Linked DNA regions of Elephas maximus indicus. Each later gene encodes a partner of the first gene's protein in a complex. Links are inferred from orthologs where the notes say so. Each region holds a gene or a part of one and is shown on either strand. Other genes may lie near its edges.

The links.
Region 2: the proteins of PI4KB (region 1) and ACBD3 are in contact, whole or in part, in an NMR structure (PDB 2N73), measured with the Homo sapiens proteins. The link is inferred for Elephas maximus indicus from reciprocal best matches to the Homo sapiens genes PI4KB and ACBD3. Residues at the interface, in NP_001317650.1 of Homo sapiens: Val37, Gly38, Val42, Ile43, Asp44, Pro45, Val47, Ala48, Gln49, Lys50, Ala51, Cys52, Glu54, Val55, Leu56, Val59, Lys60, His63; in NP_073572.2 of Homo sapiens: Gln245, Ile246, Ala249, Leu250, Gln253, Thr254, Gln257, Phe258, Tyr261, Gln265, Tyr266, Leu276, Leu280, Gln283, His284, Gln287, Tyr288, Gln291, Leu292, Val295.

What each region holds. Positions count from the first base shown.
Region 1 is NC_064821.1:185,359,275-185,367,164, reverse strand, and holds the start of PI4KB (phosphatidylinositol 4-kinase beta), read left to right. Parts: upstream 1-4,786; 5' UTR 4,787-4,918; intron 4,919-5,807; 5' UTR 5,808-6,003; coding exon 6,004-6,008; intron 6,009-7,186; exon of another isoform or gene 7,187-7,377; intron 7,378-7,890. UniProt on the Homo sapiens protein: Phosphorylates phosphatidylinositol (PI) in the first committed step in the production of the second messenger inositol-1,4,5,-trisphosphate (PIP). May regulate Golgi disintegration/reorganization during mitosis, possibly via its phosphorylation.
Region 2 is NC_064842.1:15,831,649-15,839,578, reverse strand, and holds the start of ACBD3 (Golgi resident protein GCP60), read left to right. Parts: upstream 1-4,668; 5' UTR 4,669-4,746; coding exon 4,747-5,032; intron 5,033-7,930. UniProt on the Homo sapiens protein: Involved in the maintenance of Golgi structure by interacting with giantin, affecting protein transport between the endoplasmic reticulum and Golgi. Involved in hormone-induced steroid biosynthesis in testicular Leydig cells.

The DNA.
Region 1 (7,890 bases):
AGTCTAACTCATAAAGCAATGAAAGAACAGCACAAAAGAGCTAAGTTATGCTACTCACTACTGCATAAGAGCTATAAGCAGAGAGATCAATTTGAGCTGAATAACTTGGGATGGCTTCATGGAAAAGGTAAGCTTGAGTTTAATGTCAGCAGGACTTGGATAGGTGAAAAAGGGGGGGCATTCCAGGAGAAGCAGGGAATAGGGGCATGGGGTGTGAATAAAGGCACAGCAGTACAAACACATTAAAGAGGCCTGTCAGAAGAGATGTGTAGGAAGAATAGTGAGAAATGCACCAGAAGAAAAAACAACACACAACCATTAGAGGTATTTGTCAAGTGAATGAATGAGTGGTATGAGGTTTCCATTAGAGGATGGAAGAACTGGAGTCAAAGGAACCAGCCAGGCCACTGTTAAGTTACTTTTATCCATGTGGGAAGAGATGTGGGACTGGACCAGGCTGCTGACAGGTGAAAAGTATATGGAAAAATAAAGCACTAGTGATGGAAGCATCCAAGAAAATACTATCCTCACTATGATTGGGGTTGAGGATATAGCCATTCCCTTTGGGAGACCAGGACGCTGGATGATTCTGAGATTTGCATGAGTGTTGTGGGGTTCTAAAATAGCTTCTTCCACCATATTTTTTAAATCTGCCGTGAAACAAATGAGCCTGCAGTTTGAGGAATCTTCAGTTTATGAGATGAAGGGCTAAACTGGGATTTGGGGAGCTACCTACTACTTCCCTGCTACCATTCCTCCTCCTCCTCCTCCTCTGCAATTCCCTGTTCCCCACACCCCCCTCTCCCCCCAGTATCATCTTTTCCTATTTTAGCTGTCACAAATACTAAAGATAATTTATAATTTGCTAAAATTTTGAAATAATCTTTTACTACTAATTAAACCAAGACAAATTCTACATCTCTAGTCTGTGGTCCCAAATAATTTGTTTATATTTATGGTTAATAATTGGCTTTCTTTAGAAATCAAAGCAAATGCCACATTCACTTACATACCAAATGGGGAAATTTATGTCATTGGCTATTTGTCTAAGTGTTTTGCTTCATGGTTTGCCAAAAGGCCTACCCCTTCATCTAAGATTAACTTGCTGACTCTATCCAGGGGGATAAAGCTAAGTATAAACATATATAATGTAGTATTTCTTAAGACATGTTCTTCGGGAGGCAATTGTTTACTGGGAAGAACATAAGTTAGGCTCAAATCTTAGCTTTACCACTTACCAGATAATTTTGAACATTTTATTGAGCTCAGTTTTTTCAAACTGCATTCACAGTTTGATCGCAACCCCTTCACGGGTTGTGAAATCCATTTAGCAGGTTGCAAACAGCACTTCAAAAAAATGAAATAGAACAGAAAACACTGGGTTCATGGCACATAGTAAGGGTAAGTATTCTTTCCAGAAACTTTTATTTCAGTTAACACATATGTGTTTTTCAGTGGTCATAATATAAAATGTATTTCTTATCATGGGTTGAAGTAAAACAATTTTGAAAAAAAAAAAATGACAACTATTCTGAAGCTCAGTTTCCATAAAATAGGATAAAATCTATTTCACAGGGTTGTAATGAAGAATAAATGAGGTAATATTTGTACTCAGACACAGTAAGGACTCAAGCAATACCTGCTGCTTTTTCTTTTCCTTGAAAAAAAAGCTCCTAATGTCTATGATTCAGGGGAAAAATTCAGTCTATAATTCCTTTAACCTGTATTATGACATGGATCTGGTATTTTTTTTAACCAACTTTTGAATAATAAGCCAACATCTTTCCCCCATTTGATGCAATTTAAATAAGACAAGTAAATGACATGATCCTGCTCTGTTGGCACTTTCCTGCCCCACCCCTCACCCTAATGTGCCACACATACATACACTTACCCACCAAGAGACTTCACATGCACTCAAAACAGTGTGGGTTCCCCCAGGGGCACATGTCATCCGTGTGAAACCATCTACACGCCTGCAGTGACATCCTACCTAACAGAGGAGAGTGATATTTTTTCTGTCAAAAACCAACTTAAAAAAAAAAAGAAAAAGTTCGGTGGGGTGAGTAGTTATCAGATGCTGTGCTTTTAAATTTAAAATGTAAAACAAAAAGTAACCTTCAGTTTAAAATTTTGACAGTTAAGGACTGAGAAGAAAGGAAGAAAGGTGGAGACTGATGGAAACAGGGCAACGAAAAAAACTCCAGAAAAAGGCAGAAAGACAGTCATAAAGAGATGCAAAGAAACATACATATATAAACCCTTAGAGATATAAATACAGAAAACTTGAAACAAACTCTTCTACTTAATACTCAATGCTTTGGGGGGCGGGGTCTCACTTGGTTAATAAAGGACTTAAAACTGCCTGGACTTATAAAAAGTTCCTCCCTCCCTTGGAACAGATGTTCCTGAAATCTTGTTTTTGTCACTGGAAAATGAAAAGCTTCGTACTATAAAAAAAGTAGGGCTGCCCATCTCTTTGTGCAATGTTTCAAAAGGCTAGTCTTGTAGCCCTTCAGAACCCTACCCCCTAAGGTGTTGTAATATTTTAAACTCTAGGCTAAAGCAGGCTCATCACCTCTTGGTACTTGCCTGACAGCTGGTTGAAAGCTGGGCAAGGGCTGGGCCTGACAGGTGGACTGGTGATTCCCCCCACTCCAGACCAGTGGTGACAAATTTAAACTATCTTTGGCACTCTATGCCTCTTACTCAGCTTATCTTTCATTACTGTACTCCTTCTTTAAACTAGCTAATATCTGCTCACCCTAGCCTCAGGATTTCAGCAAATTTCCATTTCTATTCTTCAACACTTTTTTTGCCTTAGAATCCTCTCTCCTTTTTGTTCTGCTGGATCATATCCAACATCTAAGAAGTGGCTCACAATATTTCTGAGAAGCCTTCCATTCATTAATTCTTTTTATAGTGAGTGGCTAGGCCCTCTGTATTAACTAAAGTCTTCCACGTTCCTTCAGCAATTAGGTACTCCATTTGTTCTACTTTTGTATATGTTACATGTTTTTCATATGTATTTTCAAGCTATTACTCTATTCTGCCTTCCAATTAAACACTGAAGCAGTGGCCCTCTTTCCTTTTTTCGTTCATCATCTTAAAAAAAAAAAAAGAGGCCTGTTGCCATCAGTGATTCTGACTCATAGCAACCCTACAGGACAGAGTAGAACTGCCCCATAGGATTTCCAAGCAGCAGCTGGTGAATTTGAACTGCCAACCTTTTGGTTAGCAGCCAAACTGTGCCACCAGGGCTCCTTCATCATCTTACTGTCCCAGTAATAGTAATATACTAGTAATATGCGCTCTCTTAACCATCACAAAACTCTGTAAAGTATAAATATTACTGCAGCCTCTTTACAGTCATGGAAACTGAGGTTCAAAAAGGTTAAATCAGTCATCTGAAATCACTCAGCCTGTAAATGCCAGGGAAGCATCCAAGATCTGGGTTCAAACAAACAACTAGTCTCAATTTAAATATTAAGTAAAGTTCTACAAGGAGCTGGGATACAGGCTCTGAAGGACAGCTTTCAATCAATGACGCTAACCCGCATTTACAGGTTGTGTTTTTGTTTAGTCTTATTTTAACAGGAGCCCTGGTGGTGCAGTGGTTAAGTGCTGGGATGTTAACCGAAAAGTCCGCAGTTCGAACCCACCAGCCGCTCTGCAGGGGAAAGATGTGGCAGTCCGCTTCCGTAAAGATTACAGCCTTGGAAACAGTTCTCCTCTGTCCTATAGGGTCGCTGTGAGTCGGAATCCACTCGACAGCAAGGGGTTTGGTTTTTGGTTTATTTTGTTTTGAAGGAAGGGTTGTGTCCTCCAAGTCTTTGACATTTCACTCACCTCTCCCAACCTTGCCCTGGCCAGCCCCAGGCCAGCTCCTCCCTGGAGGGCTCGGCGTCCGAGGCTGGAGGCCAAAAGCTGCCTAGGCGGGAGGACCTCGGAGGCAGAACCACGGCCTCGAGTCTGGCCGCTAACGGCGTTAAGACTGACGTGGTTGGACCGCGCCATTCCCGAAGTGATAAGGGGCGTAATCTTGGCACCGTCCTTAAAGATGAGTAGGAAAAGGGTAGTGAGGGTAACTATCTTCCCTTTTTCTCCCCTCCCCTTTTCCATCCCACAACCTGATTTGCTCAGGGAGTCCGTGTAGGACAGGGGAGGGGAGAATGCTACTGTCTGAAGTTACGGTAACTCGGTGGCTAACTAAAACGGGCTCATTTACATATAACTTGCAAGTTCATGTACTCATGGAAGTACCCGATATGTCTGTACGTCTCCTCTAACAGGGGCACGCACTCCCGTTTGTCCACCCGGCCTCTGTCTGCTCACGGCCGGGAGCGCGGGAACCTTACCCTACAAATTTACTTCCCTCTCGGCTTCCTTAGTCTCGGAACCCCTCCCTTAGGGCCGCCTCTCAAAGATTGGCCCCTCCTTCCATCCATAGGCTCCTCCCTTCGCCCGCCTCCCTCTTTAGCTTCCAACTATCTCGTCTCCTCCCCCTTTTAAATTTCTGAACAGGCATGTTCCGGGCAGCTCACCCGACTCTTTAGGTTACTATGGGATCGGTAGGGTCCTGAGCGTCGGGGAAGCAAGGAAGCCGACCTCGGGAAGAAGGACTGGGACTCGGGAGAGGAATCTACATCAGTACCTGCTGGGAATTTTTTTTTTTTCCTTGGTTGTACGAGGCGAGGAAGAGGAGGTTGCGCGGCCCGGTCGAACTTGGGGCTGCGCGAAGGCCCCTTCAGGCAGCGCCGAGGGCAGCCCCGCAGCCAGGGCCTGGTGCAGCCGCCGCGGCCGCTGTCAGGAAAGCGGAGGCGGCCAATGGAGCCCGGGAGCGGCCGCTGCTGCTGAGGCGGGGTGCCGGCAGCCCGACCCCGACCGCCCGCACCCCCTCCGCGGGGGTCCCCCGGAGGTAGGCGACTCCACCCCCGTGAGTTACCCTTGCCCTCTCGGGGGGCTCTCTCACCCTGTCCCGCACAGCCTACCCACCCTCCCCCTCAAAACCTGGATTCGACTACAGAATTGCCCCCCCGGTGGCAGCTGCACCCCGGGTTCCTTCTCCACCCTTTCTTTTTAGGCCTGGGATCCTCCTCTGCTTTTTGGCTTCCTCTTTTAACTCCTCCCCTTGCCCCGGGGATTCCTCCTCCCTCACTTTTATCCCTGTTGCCTCCGTCCCGAAATTATTTTCTTAAACCCTTCCGTATCAGGATGCCTTCTGTAATGTCCATCCTTGCTTGTCCTTCCTCGTTGCCTGTGCCCCTGCCTCAAACCTTTCCCATAGACCCCTCCTTTATCCTTTTTCCTCTTTTACCCCTTTGCTCCGAGGTCTCTGTGCAACCCTAGCACTGGGTTCCCATTTCCCTCAGCTAAAGATGTGGCCCTTTCTTCTTCTGCTTCTTCTGATTCTATTACTTTACTGCCACCCACCCACCCAGCGACTCTTGGTTTCCAAAAGTTACCTATCCCCCTCTCCTTAAGGGATTTAATGCTCTCAGCATCATTCCCACAGTACTGTTAGCATTCTGCTTTGACCATAATCCTCACCCTTCTTCTCCGGAATGCTATCTGATCCCTGTAACTTTATTTAGTTTCTCTTCCCCCTTTTCAATCCCCCAGCCTCTGGAGGTTTGTTTCTGAGGGGAATAAAAGATCTGACAGTGCCCCTGCCCATTCAGGATTTCTAACTTTTGACACCTTCTCCCTAGAGTTTCAGAGATTTTGCCTGATCTTGTGACATTTGGTTCTGTTTTCCCTTTGGTCTCTATGTCTTCTCTTTCACACTCTTTATCTCCACATACCAGTTATTTCAGGATCAGCTAAACCTTGAACTAAGAAGAAAATGTATTGGGAAGAGGGGGAGCCTCAGCTGTCTCAGGCTTTTCTGGACAGAAGGGTGATTCTGAAGGATGGAGCAAATTTTGAAGAAGTCTATCAGATTACACTTTGTTGACTACTCAGGAGCAACCACTGGCAGGGATGAACAGGCCTGGAAACTGAATGAGGTTGTGAGAAATTTTGTTTCGGATTATTTAATTTTAGGCTTGTTTTAAAGGGATCACAGACTAGAGTGCCTTCCCACCCCGTCCAGAGCCAAGAGGAGTCAGTTTACGTGCCTGTGGCTTAGTAGAATAGTTTTGGTTGATTCCCTGAGAGCACAGGCCTGGGGTGGGATGGGGGGGGGGTGGTAACTGGGAAAAGGAACATGGGACAATGGAAAGAGCTTATACATTTGGAATTAGGACTCCTGGGTTCAGCATGTGACTTCCTCACTTGACCTTTAGAATGACCTTTTTGGGAAAATGGCCCACTCTAAAGGCATCACTGCAGTAATAGACTAACAGTAGAATGAGGGTTGGGAGAAAAATTAGACTTGGTTTTTTTGTTTACAAAACATCCTCTGGGTTCATCAGACAAAAGGTATTTGATAGGAGTGGTTTAGTCGCCCTGAGAATTTTCTTTCATCTTGATCTCCGTTGGGTCTTTCTAATCTACAGCCATGAAAGTAAGTCAGTTTGAAAGACAAGCTCTAAGTCTGCTTCTCTCATCTGTCTTTTTTTCCTGTCACATTAGGTTGCTGACCTCCTGAGCTGTCAGCTTAATCCACAATTCCAGATTCAATAGGTAGAAAGTATGTTTGTGGGAAAGCCCTTTGAGGAAGCTGTCTGGAAAAGAGAACTTGGAGTGATCTGGGACTTAGGAGACTAGTTGCTGCCTTGTATGTATGCCATGTCTCTGACTTGGCCCATGATAGTGAAGAGGACATGTGAAGCTCCATTCATCTTTAACTCTAGGCCTGTCTGAAGTATGAAGCAGTCCTACTACCTTGTCCCGCTTCTGCCTTGTCTTCCTCCTCTTTATCAGAGTGCAGTCTCCTCATAATACCCCTTTTTAGAAGCAATTTGGAAAACATCCCCAACCAGAAGTCATACTTCCCCTAGTTTCCCTGCTTCCTTCTCAGAGTTGAGGTCACATTGCATGGAGAGAACATGTTTGCTGAACACCATCCAAAGTAGTGAATTGAGATTCTTTGATTTGGGAAAGAGGCTGGGAGGACCCTTTCAATAATTGGCAGGGGATAAGAGAGAGCCTAGTCAAGGTGCATTTGGGGCTTGGTAGGGGGGGAACAGTTCAGAGAGAGGTGAATGTGCAAGTTGCTTCCTTTACCATCTGTCTGTTTCAGCAGGGGCTCCCAGAGCTGGCTTGGGCTGTCTGGCTGGAATCTGCTTATACCAGCTCCATGGCCCTGTGCAGAGAGCTCTCAGCCTGATTCAATATTGATTTAACTACCCTGAGACCACTGCCCTCCCTACCCTTCTGCTGGCAGCTTGAGAATGCCCTCTCCCTTGATGCCGCCACCCCCTGGGGCCTCGGGTAAGCATTTACCTAGTTCCTGGTGGGGCTTGAGCCTGCTCGACAGCTTGGCCCTAAGTTTCTGCAAGGAAAGAGAAGTACACTATCTCCACCTTGACATTGAGGTCAAAGAGGAGATGAGCTGAAGCATCCTTAAAGAAAGGTTTGTGTTAGACCTTAAGACATGACGAGGAACTTCTTAACAGAAGGACAAGTAGCCTAAGGTGATAGAGGGTCTCTTTTGAAAATCAACTTCTTTTAGAGAAATTATTATTGAAGAAATACATGCACTTGGTAACAAATTCAGGAGTTTATGATGAAAAGTCTCTTTCCACTCGTCCCTATTCCTAGTCCTCAGATTTAACCTCTTTTAATTATCTCAGTGTTTAGCTCTGAAGGTTATTGCCGTCACTGTACGTAGAATGCTTATGCCGCTGTTTCTTGATGTATTAATTGTTATAAAAGAGGATTTAGCTTTAGGGGATTTATACTCCGTGTTTATATAATTATGTCATTATTTTTATTTCTTCTACT
Region 2 (7,930 bases), on another chromosome or scaffold:
CTACCCTGTCCTATAGGGTCACTATGAGTTGGAATCGACTCGACAGCAGTGGGTTTTGTTTTGGGTTTTCATACTGTACTCTTTGGAAGGAAGTCACTACATGCAGCCCTCACTAAGAAGTGGAGAGTTACGCTCTACCTGCTTGAGGGCAGAGTATCTACATAAATTATTTGAAATTCTTTGGAAGGGAGATTTGTGTCTTTCCCCCATTTATTTATTTACACAGTCATTTATCTATATCAGTAGAAACTGGTGGATGTTTATACTTTGGGTTATAATCCAATACTACCTTATTTATCTTGTTGCTACAGTGACAGGCGTATCATAGCAAACGTCTATTGAAAAGTTTTGGGGAGGGGCTATAAAATGGATGATGGATATGTTTGTTAATTGTGGTAATAGTTTTACAGGTATATACACACATCAAAACTCACTGTAAACTTTAATTTGCAGTTTATTTGTACATCAATTATACCTCAGTAAGTGTGGTTCAGTGATAGAATTTTCACCTTCCATGTGTGAGACTGGGGTTCAATTTCTGGTCAGTGCACCATGCACAGCTACCACCCAACTGTCTGTCAGTGGAGGCTTGCGTGTTGCTATGACGCTGAACAGGTTTTAGAGGGGCCTCCAGACTAAGACGGACAAAACGAAGGAAAGCCTGGATCGCGATTTACTTCTGAAAATCAGCCAGTGAAAACCGTATGGATCACAATGGTCCATTCTGCAACCGATCGTGGTGGATGGTGCAGAACTGGTCGGTGTTACTCATGGGGTCACCATGAGTCAGGGGCTAACTTGACAGCAGCTAACAACGACAACAAAGTTGTGAAAACATTTTCTCAAATCCTGCTATTCAAAGTGTTGTCTACAGACAGCAGCATCACCAGAAAGCTTATCAGAAATGCAGACTCTCAGGGACCTTTCCAGACCTACTGAGTCAGAATCTGTAGTTTAACAAAATCCTCAGGTAATTCCTATGCATATTAAAGTTTGACCTCTTGGAGCAGGAGAGCAGTGGGATGCAGACCCCAAATTCTCATAAAAAAGACCAAACTTAATGGTCTGACTGAGACTAGAAGGACCCTGGTGGTCTTGGCCCCCAGACCTTCTGTTGCCCCAGGACAGGAACCGTTCCCGAAGTCAACTCCTCAGACATGGATTGGACTGGGCAATGGGTTGGAGAGGGATGCTGGTGAGGAGTGAGCTTCTTGGATCAGGTAGACACTTGAGACTATGTTGGCATCTCCTGCCTGGAGGAGAGACGAGAGGGTGGAGGGGGTTAGAAGCTGGTGAAATGGACACGAAAAGAGAGAGTGGTGGGAGAGAGCGGGCTGTCTCAGTAGGGGGAAAGTAATTGGGAGTGTGTAGCAAGGTGTATATAAGTTTTTGTATGAGAGACTGACTTGATTTGTAAACTTTCACTTAAAGCGCAATAAAAATTATATATAAAAAAAAATTTCGACCTCTTACTATACTGAATGTCTAGAACTCATCTCCCACAATGGGTTCGTAAAAGGGAGTTCTATTTGCTAATCTTTTTTTAGGTCTCTAAGAGCAACCCTGGTGGCACAGTGGTTAAATGCTATGGCTCCTAATCAAAGGGTCAGCAGTTGGAATCTGCCAGGTACTCCTTGGAAACTCTATGGGGCAGTTCTACTCCGTCCTATAGGGTTGCTATGAGTTGGAATCGACTTGATGGCACTGGGTTTGGTTTTTTTTAAGAGCCAACTACCTAGAGTATGTCCCTGATGATTCTATTAGCTAGATGGTTCACGTTCTTCAAGAATATTCAGTACGTTAAATTCCAAAAACATAGTGTGTTTTACCTATCCATCTTCCTGATTATATTAAGTTTTAATATTTATACTGTTTTTAAAAATAACTTTTTTTTCCTGATTGCAAATGAAATGGTTATTGCAGACAACTTGGAAAACAGAAGTAGAGGTATATTTACCATCTCATTTTCACCTTCAACAGTTATTGGTAAGTAAAGGTAGAATGCTGAGCTAGACACAGCAAGGTAATATATTTATGACTTCTTAGAGGGTAGGCCTTGTAATGTGTCTATTTTAAAATGAATTAAAGCTAAATCTAGAGATCAAAGCTAAGTAGAAAAACCACTGGACTTAGAGTAGTAGAATTAATTTTGAGTCCCCTACAACTCAGAAGTGGGTTTACCAAGGCCCTCATAGGGGCCCTACCAGTATATTCACGTGGTCCAATATTTTTTTTTAATTTGAAAAGTAAGATATTTAAGGTCACTCTCTCTTTGCATTCTGGCTTCCCTTCCATCACTCCTCTCTGTGTTAGGTGGTATCAGAATGACCCCAGACTTTTGGGGGATCTGTCTAGGGGACGATGATTAAATAAGGGACACATTTAATTTGAGTTTAGTGGCATGCATTTATGTGGTTCACAGTCACTTCCGGGTACTGTTAAAAATATTGCTCACTGTGGGTGTAAAAATGGCTTTCTGGAATACACCTGCTACCCATTATGCCAACTCAGCCAGCACTATGTCACCAAGGTGCAGAGCCCGAGGGCAAAGAACTTCTGTGGTGCCTGGTACAGTAAGTACATGGGTAATAGAAGAGAAATAAGGTTTGAAATAAAAGGACTGAGAAGCTAGACCATAGAAAACTCTTCCAACTATCAGAAGTAAATTAGTAAGTGGAGGGATCACTTCTGTCAATGCCTAATCAAAACGGAGGTTCTCCCTCATCACAGAATCTACTAAGTAATGTCATACATACAATTATAAATGTACCATACCTCTTTTTAATGGAAATCATGCAAAATGGAATATATTAGAACTCCTGTGTTTACAGGGCACAAAGTTGTAGTTGTACTATAGTGAGCCTGTCTATATGTGAAGTCACATGTTTTATTTATCCGCACAGGTCAGATGATGCCTTAATGCAATAGACAAATTTTGTCCTGAAAAACTCTGGGGTTCCAGTAAAAACTGCATGCAAAACTGCCACTGAAGTAGTCAAATGGCCCTGAAATATTATAGCTCATATATGAGAGAAACTCAGTAGTTTCCCAGTTTTGACCAAAACCCTAAACATGACAGTATCAGTATTGAGTTGTGAAGTTGAAAGTAACTTATAAACAATTAAAAATAAAAAATATTGATTGGCCACTCTAGACAAAAGATATTGATCTTTGTATTTTTTTTTAATACAATATTACAAAATAATTACCATAGGAAAAGGTGATCCAATATGCAGCCAAAAATGTAGGAAAAGTTATTATAAAGGGTGTCCATGAGGTCTGGAAACACAGATGAACATAATGTCATCAAGGACATCTTTAATATTTAAAACAAACAGAATGAAAAAATTATGCTTTCAGACTTTATAAACACCCTATAGAAGTGTATCAGGCAGTTAATAAAAATTTTATGGTTGTGTGTGTGTCACGGATTGAATTGTGTCCCCCCAAAATATGTGTCAACTTGGTTAGGCCATGATTCTCAGTACTGTGTGGTTCTCCATTTTGTGATTGTAATTCTATGTTAAAAAGGATTAGGGTAGGATTGTAACACCCTTACCTAGGTCACATCCCTAATTCAATGTAAAGAGAGTTTCCCTGGGGTGTGGCCTGCACCACCTTTTATCTCTTAAGAGATAAAAAGGAAAGGGAAGCGCGCACAGAGGGGGGACCTCAGACCAACAAAAAAGCAGTGCAGGGAGCAGAGCTTGTCTTTTGGACCCAGGGTTCCTTGACCAGGGGAAGATCGAGGACAAGGACCTTCCTCCAGAGCCGACAGTGAGACAAAGCATTCCCCTAGAAATGACACCCTGAATTTGGACTTTCAGCCTACTTTACCGTGAGGAAATAAATTTCTTTATTAAAGCCATCCACTTGTGGTATTTCTGTTACAGCAGCACTAGATGACTAAGACAGTGTGTGTGTGCTGTTTGTGGATTTTAACTTTTAAAACTATTAGCAACAGGGTTAGATGTCTGATCTGGAAGATGTTTAAAAATGTCATTTGTGATTTCTTTCTCACTAAATCTATACTCACTTTCCTACCTACATTTCTGTTTGTAATTTTTGTATTTTTTATGTTAAAGAGGGCCCCACAGGTTGTATGAGCTTCAGTTACTGCAAAACTAGAACCTGCCCCTGTCTACAACCACTTCAAAGAAGTCACCGACTTTCTCTGCAGCCTCAGTTGCCTCTTAAAAAAAAAAAGGCATTTGCCCTGCATCCCTCAAAGATGCTGTGAAGAACAAACGAAACTGGTGGGCAAGAGAGTTCTGCAAACCACACAACTGCTCACGAACGTGAAGGTCCTAGGACCCGAAGGGCAGGGTGCTTGCCTGAATCCTTGTCCTCCGCGCACCGACCCCAGCGGGCTCTCCTGACCTCGGCCCTGCCGGACACCGACAGTCGCGGGGTAGAACGCAGTCCAGAGGGCGGCCGGGATGGGGGGCGTTGGGACGGAGCACTTGCCAACCGCAAGGAGCTAAGGTCAGAGAGGACACGGTGAAGGCGCCGGGGCGGGGGGTTTCCCCCGTGGGCGGGACCTAAGGGGCGGGGCGGGGCGGGTGGTCGCGGGGGCGGGGCTTATGGCCCCGGAGGGGCGGGGCACCAGGCATCAGACCCTCTCCCAGAGCCCTTGAGCCTCCTCAGCAGCGGAAGTTCCGGTGTCGGTGAGTGGAGGTCGGAGGTCAGCAGGAAGTCGATACGTGGCCGCCGCCTGTCCCCGCCGAGGAGGCGCAGCAGCCGGAGATGGCGGCGGTGCTGAACGCAGAGCGACTGGAGGTGTCTGTCGACGGCCTCACGCTAAGCCCAGACCCGGAGGAGCGGCCTGGTGCGGAGGGCGCCCCGCTGCTGCCACCGCCGCTGCCGCCACCCTCGCCTCCGGGGTCGGGCCGGGGCCCGGGCGCCGCAGGGGAGCAGCCGGAGCCCGGGGAGACGGCGGCTGGGGGCGCGGCGGAGGAGGCGCGGCGGCTGGAGCTGCACTGGGGCTTTGGCCTGGAGGAGCTGTACGGCCTGGCCCTCCGCTTCTTCAAAGGTGAGCCGGGCCGGCCGCTCGCCCTCCTCTTCCTGGCGCTGGAAGCCCGACCCGGGCTGTGTCCACCGGGGTGATTGGGCCAGCCTCACCCGCACCCACTGCGGTGACCGGAGCAGGGTTCCGCCCCTGGGGCTACCTGAAGCTTGTCACTATCCGCTCGACCACCAGGTCACGCCCCTGAGTGGCCTGGAACCTTGCTTTGGCACTCCCGAATCCCGCCTCCCCGAGGTTAGCAGGGCATTTTACCTGATTTAATTCTTCGGATTTCCACGAGCCAAGGTACCTCTTTGTAAGCCCTTGCGCTGTCTCTCCCAGAGATCCCATTTTGGGGTTGCCTTTTCACCGTTCTCCTGTTTCCCATGGCATGGATATCAGACCTCGCCGAGTTTTCCTCATTCCCCATAGCGGGAGAAGTCTTTCTATAGGTTCCGTACATGCTCTCTCCAGCCATTCTGGGGAACCATAAAGTCGAATAGCACTTAATCACCTGGCAGCGATAATGTGCCAGGGAGAAGGAAGTAAAATATTAAGCCAATACATCCCCTTCGGCTGTTCAGACTCAAAAGAGAAGGGATGTCCACTGTGTTCTAGCAGCTTCTGGAAGGTTAAATTTTTACCTTGTAAGCAATTTGGAAGAGTGAATTCTCAGAGTAAGGCATAAAAGTACCTTCTGTGCTTCTAGCAGAATTAATTGAAAAAATGTCTTTTTTCTTAGAGCAAGACTGTAGTGTGTGATTTTTTCTATTGGCTGATTCACTTAGTCAAATGATGGTGATAGTCACATGATTTTTTCAGTGGGAAAAACTGGTAAGACGTCGTTGGTTTGATTCTTAGAGATACTTAGATCTCATGGGGTGTATGGGTAGGAAGAGATAATGTGCAAATGAGACTTTTAAAGTGGCTGCTAGGTTCTGTATATATTCCAGAACAGCATATTCATGACACGATTCCTGGAGGGAGTACCTTTTTGAGTACATATTTACTAGTTGAAGTTGAGTAGTTCAAATCTTCAAGTTTTTTCCTTGAAATATAACTTAAATTGTGCAAGCTATGGAAAATGTCCCTTAGGAAATTTTCCAGCACATTTGATCATTCCATATACATTGCATTTTTTTTATTTAAAAATTTCCCTTTGAGATATTTCTTGTCATTGCACAAGAAGTTCAGCCCTCTGAGCACTAGCTAGCTTGGGGAATTGGTAATGGCTAGTGGGTTTTGGATACTTGACCTGTAGGTCACCGGCTTGAATTTAAAGTTTGCTGTGGTGATGATATATTACCATGTTTATAAAAATCTAGTGGTTTCTATACAATTTATATAATTATATTCTACCTTAAATTTTTATTCTTAGAACTTATTTTTCCAGTATTCAGTATATCAGAGGGAGAAATAGCACAGGAGCAATTAAAAGCTACCCTTCTGCGTGGCTCATTACATCATCTAGCAATGAAGAGGCTGTTACTGTAGGAGATGCCTAATTGAGGGGAAAAAGAAAAGTAGGGATACAAAAGCACTCAGAATTATGGGAAGTGGGGTAAGCCAAGTGTTGCTGCATTTGTTTTAATGTGTGAATTTTTCTAGTGAAATCCTTGTGCTTTAATCAGTCTTGCAAGGATTTCTAGTAGATCATTATTTTGTGGTTTTGTACCAATAGCTTACAAGAATTAAAAATAAAATGACGTATTCTCTTCTCCTGTGGCGTAAATATGAATCTTAAAAACATGAATATCTTTTCCATTGAAAATAGGGACCCCGTTCTTCATTCCAGCCCTGTGACAGTGGTCATAGGCCACTGACTGAACCCATTATGTCAACTCCCTACCCTCTTAATTTTGTGAAAATAAAAGTAAAATAACAGATGAAAATGTAGGTAAATGTAAGTGTCTTAATTATCCAGTGCTGTCATAACAAAAAATATTCTCTCACAGTTTGGAGGCTAAAAGTCCAAATCAGGGTCTTGGCCCTGTCAATTCCTTTTGTGACTCTCTGTCATAGTTTCTAGTGTCTGCTGGCATTCCTTGGTGTTTCTTTGCATGTAGATCCCAACCACCCCACCCTCATTCTATCTATTCTGACACAACACAGAAGGGATTAGGTTTAGGACCTGCCCTACTCTGCCATGACCTCATTAACATGACAACAGAAACCCCTGTTTCCAAACAGGGTCATATGTACAGGGACAGGGACAAGGACTTCATACATCTTTTTGGGAGCACAGTTCAGTCCATAATGGTATTTTACCATCTAAACTTTGTTCAGTAGACGTTTGCTGAATCCTCATTATAGATGAAGTGTTATATTAGGTTAGCACTATAGTTAAGTAGGGAGCCCTGATGGTGCAGTGGAAACCCTGGTGGCGTAGTGGTTAAGTGCTACGGCTGTTAAACAAACGGTCAGCAGTTCGAATCCGCCAGGCGCTCCTTGGAAACTCTATGGGACAGTTCTCCTCTGTCCTGTAGGGTCGCTATGAGCCGGAATCAACTCGACGGCACTGGATTTTTGGTTTTAATGGTGCAGTGGTTAACAGCTCAGGCTGCTAACCCAGAGGTTGGCAGTTCGAATCTACCAGCCACTCCTTGAAAACCATGTGGGGCAGTTCTACTCTGCTGTATAGGGTCACTATGAGTTGCAACTGACTCAGTGGCAGCAGGTCCAGGTGTATAGGTAAATTGTACATTCCTCTTGCCATTAAGGATCTTTGAGTCCAAAAGAGGAAATAAACACCAAGTGACAGCTGCAGTGCAAAACTGAGGAGGCAGATGCCACTCCAGAGAGAAGGAAAGCCAAGAGCAATGAAGATCTGAAAGGGCAAGCAATACCTGTCCAGAAAATGGCAAATAGGAAATACTTGACCGAGAGAGCTAGAAAAGTAAGGTGGAGACAGATCGTGGCAGGCTA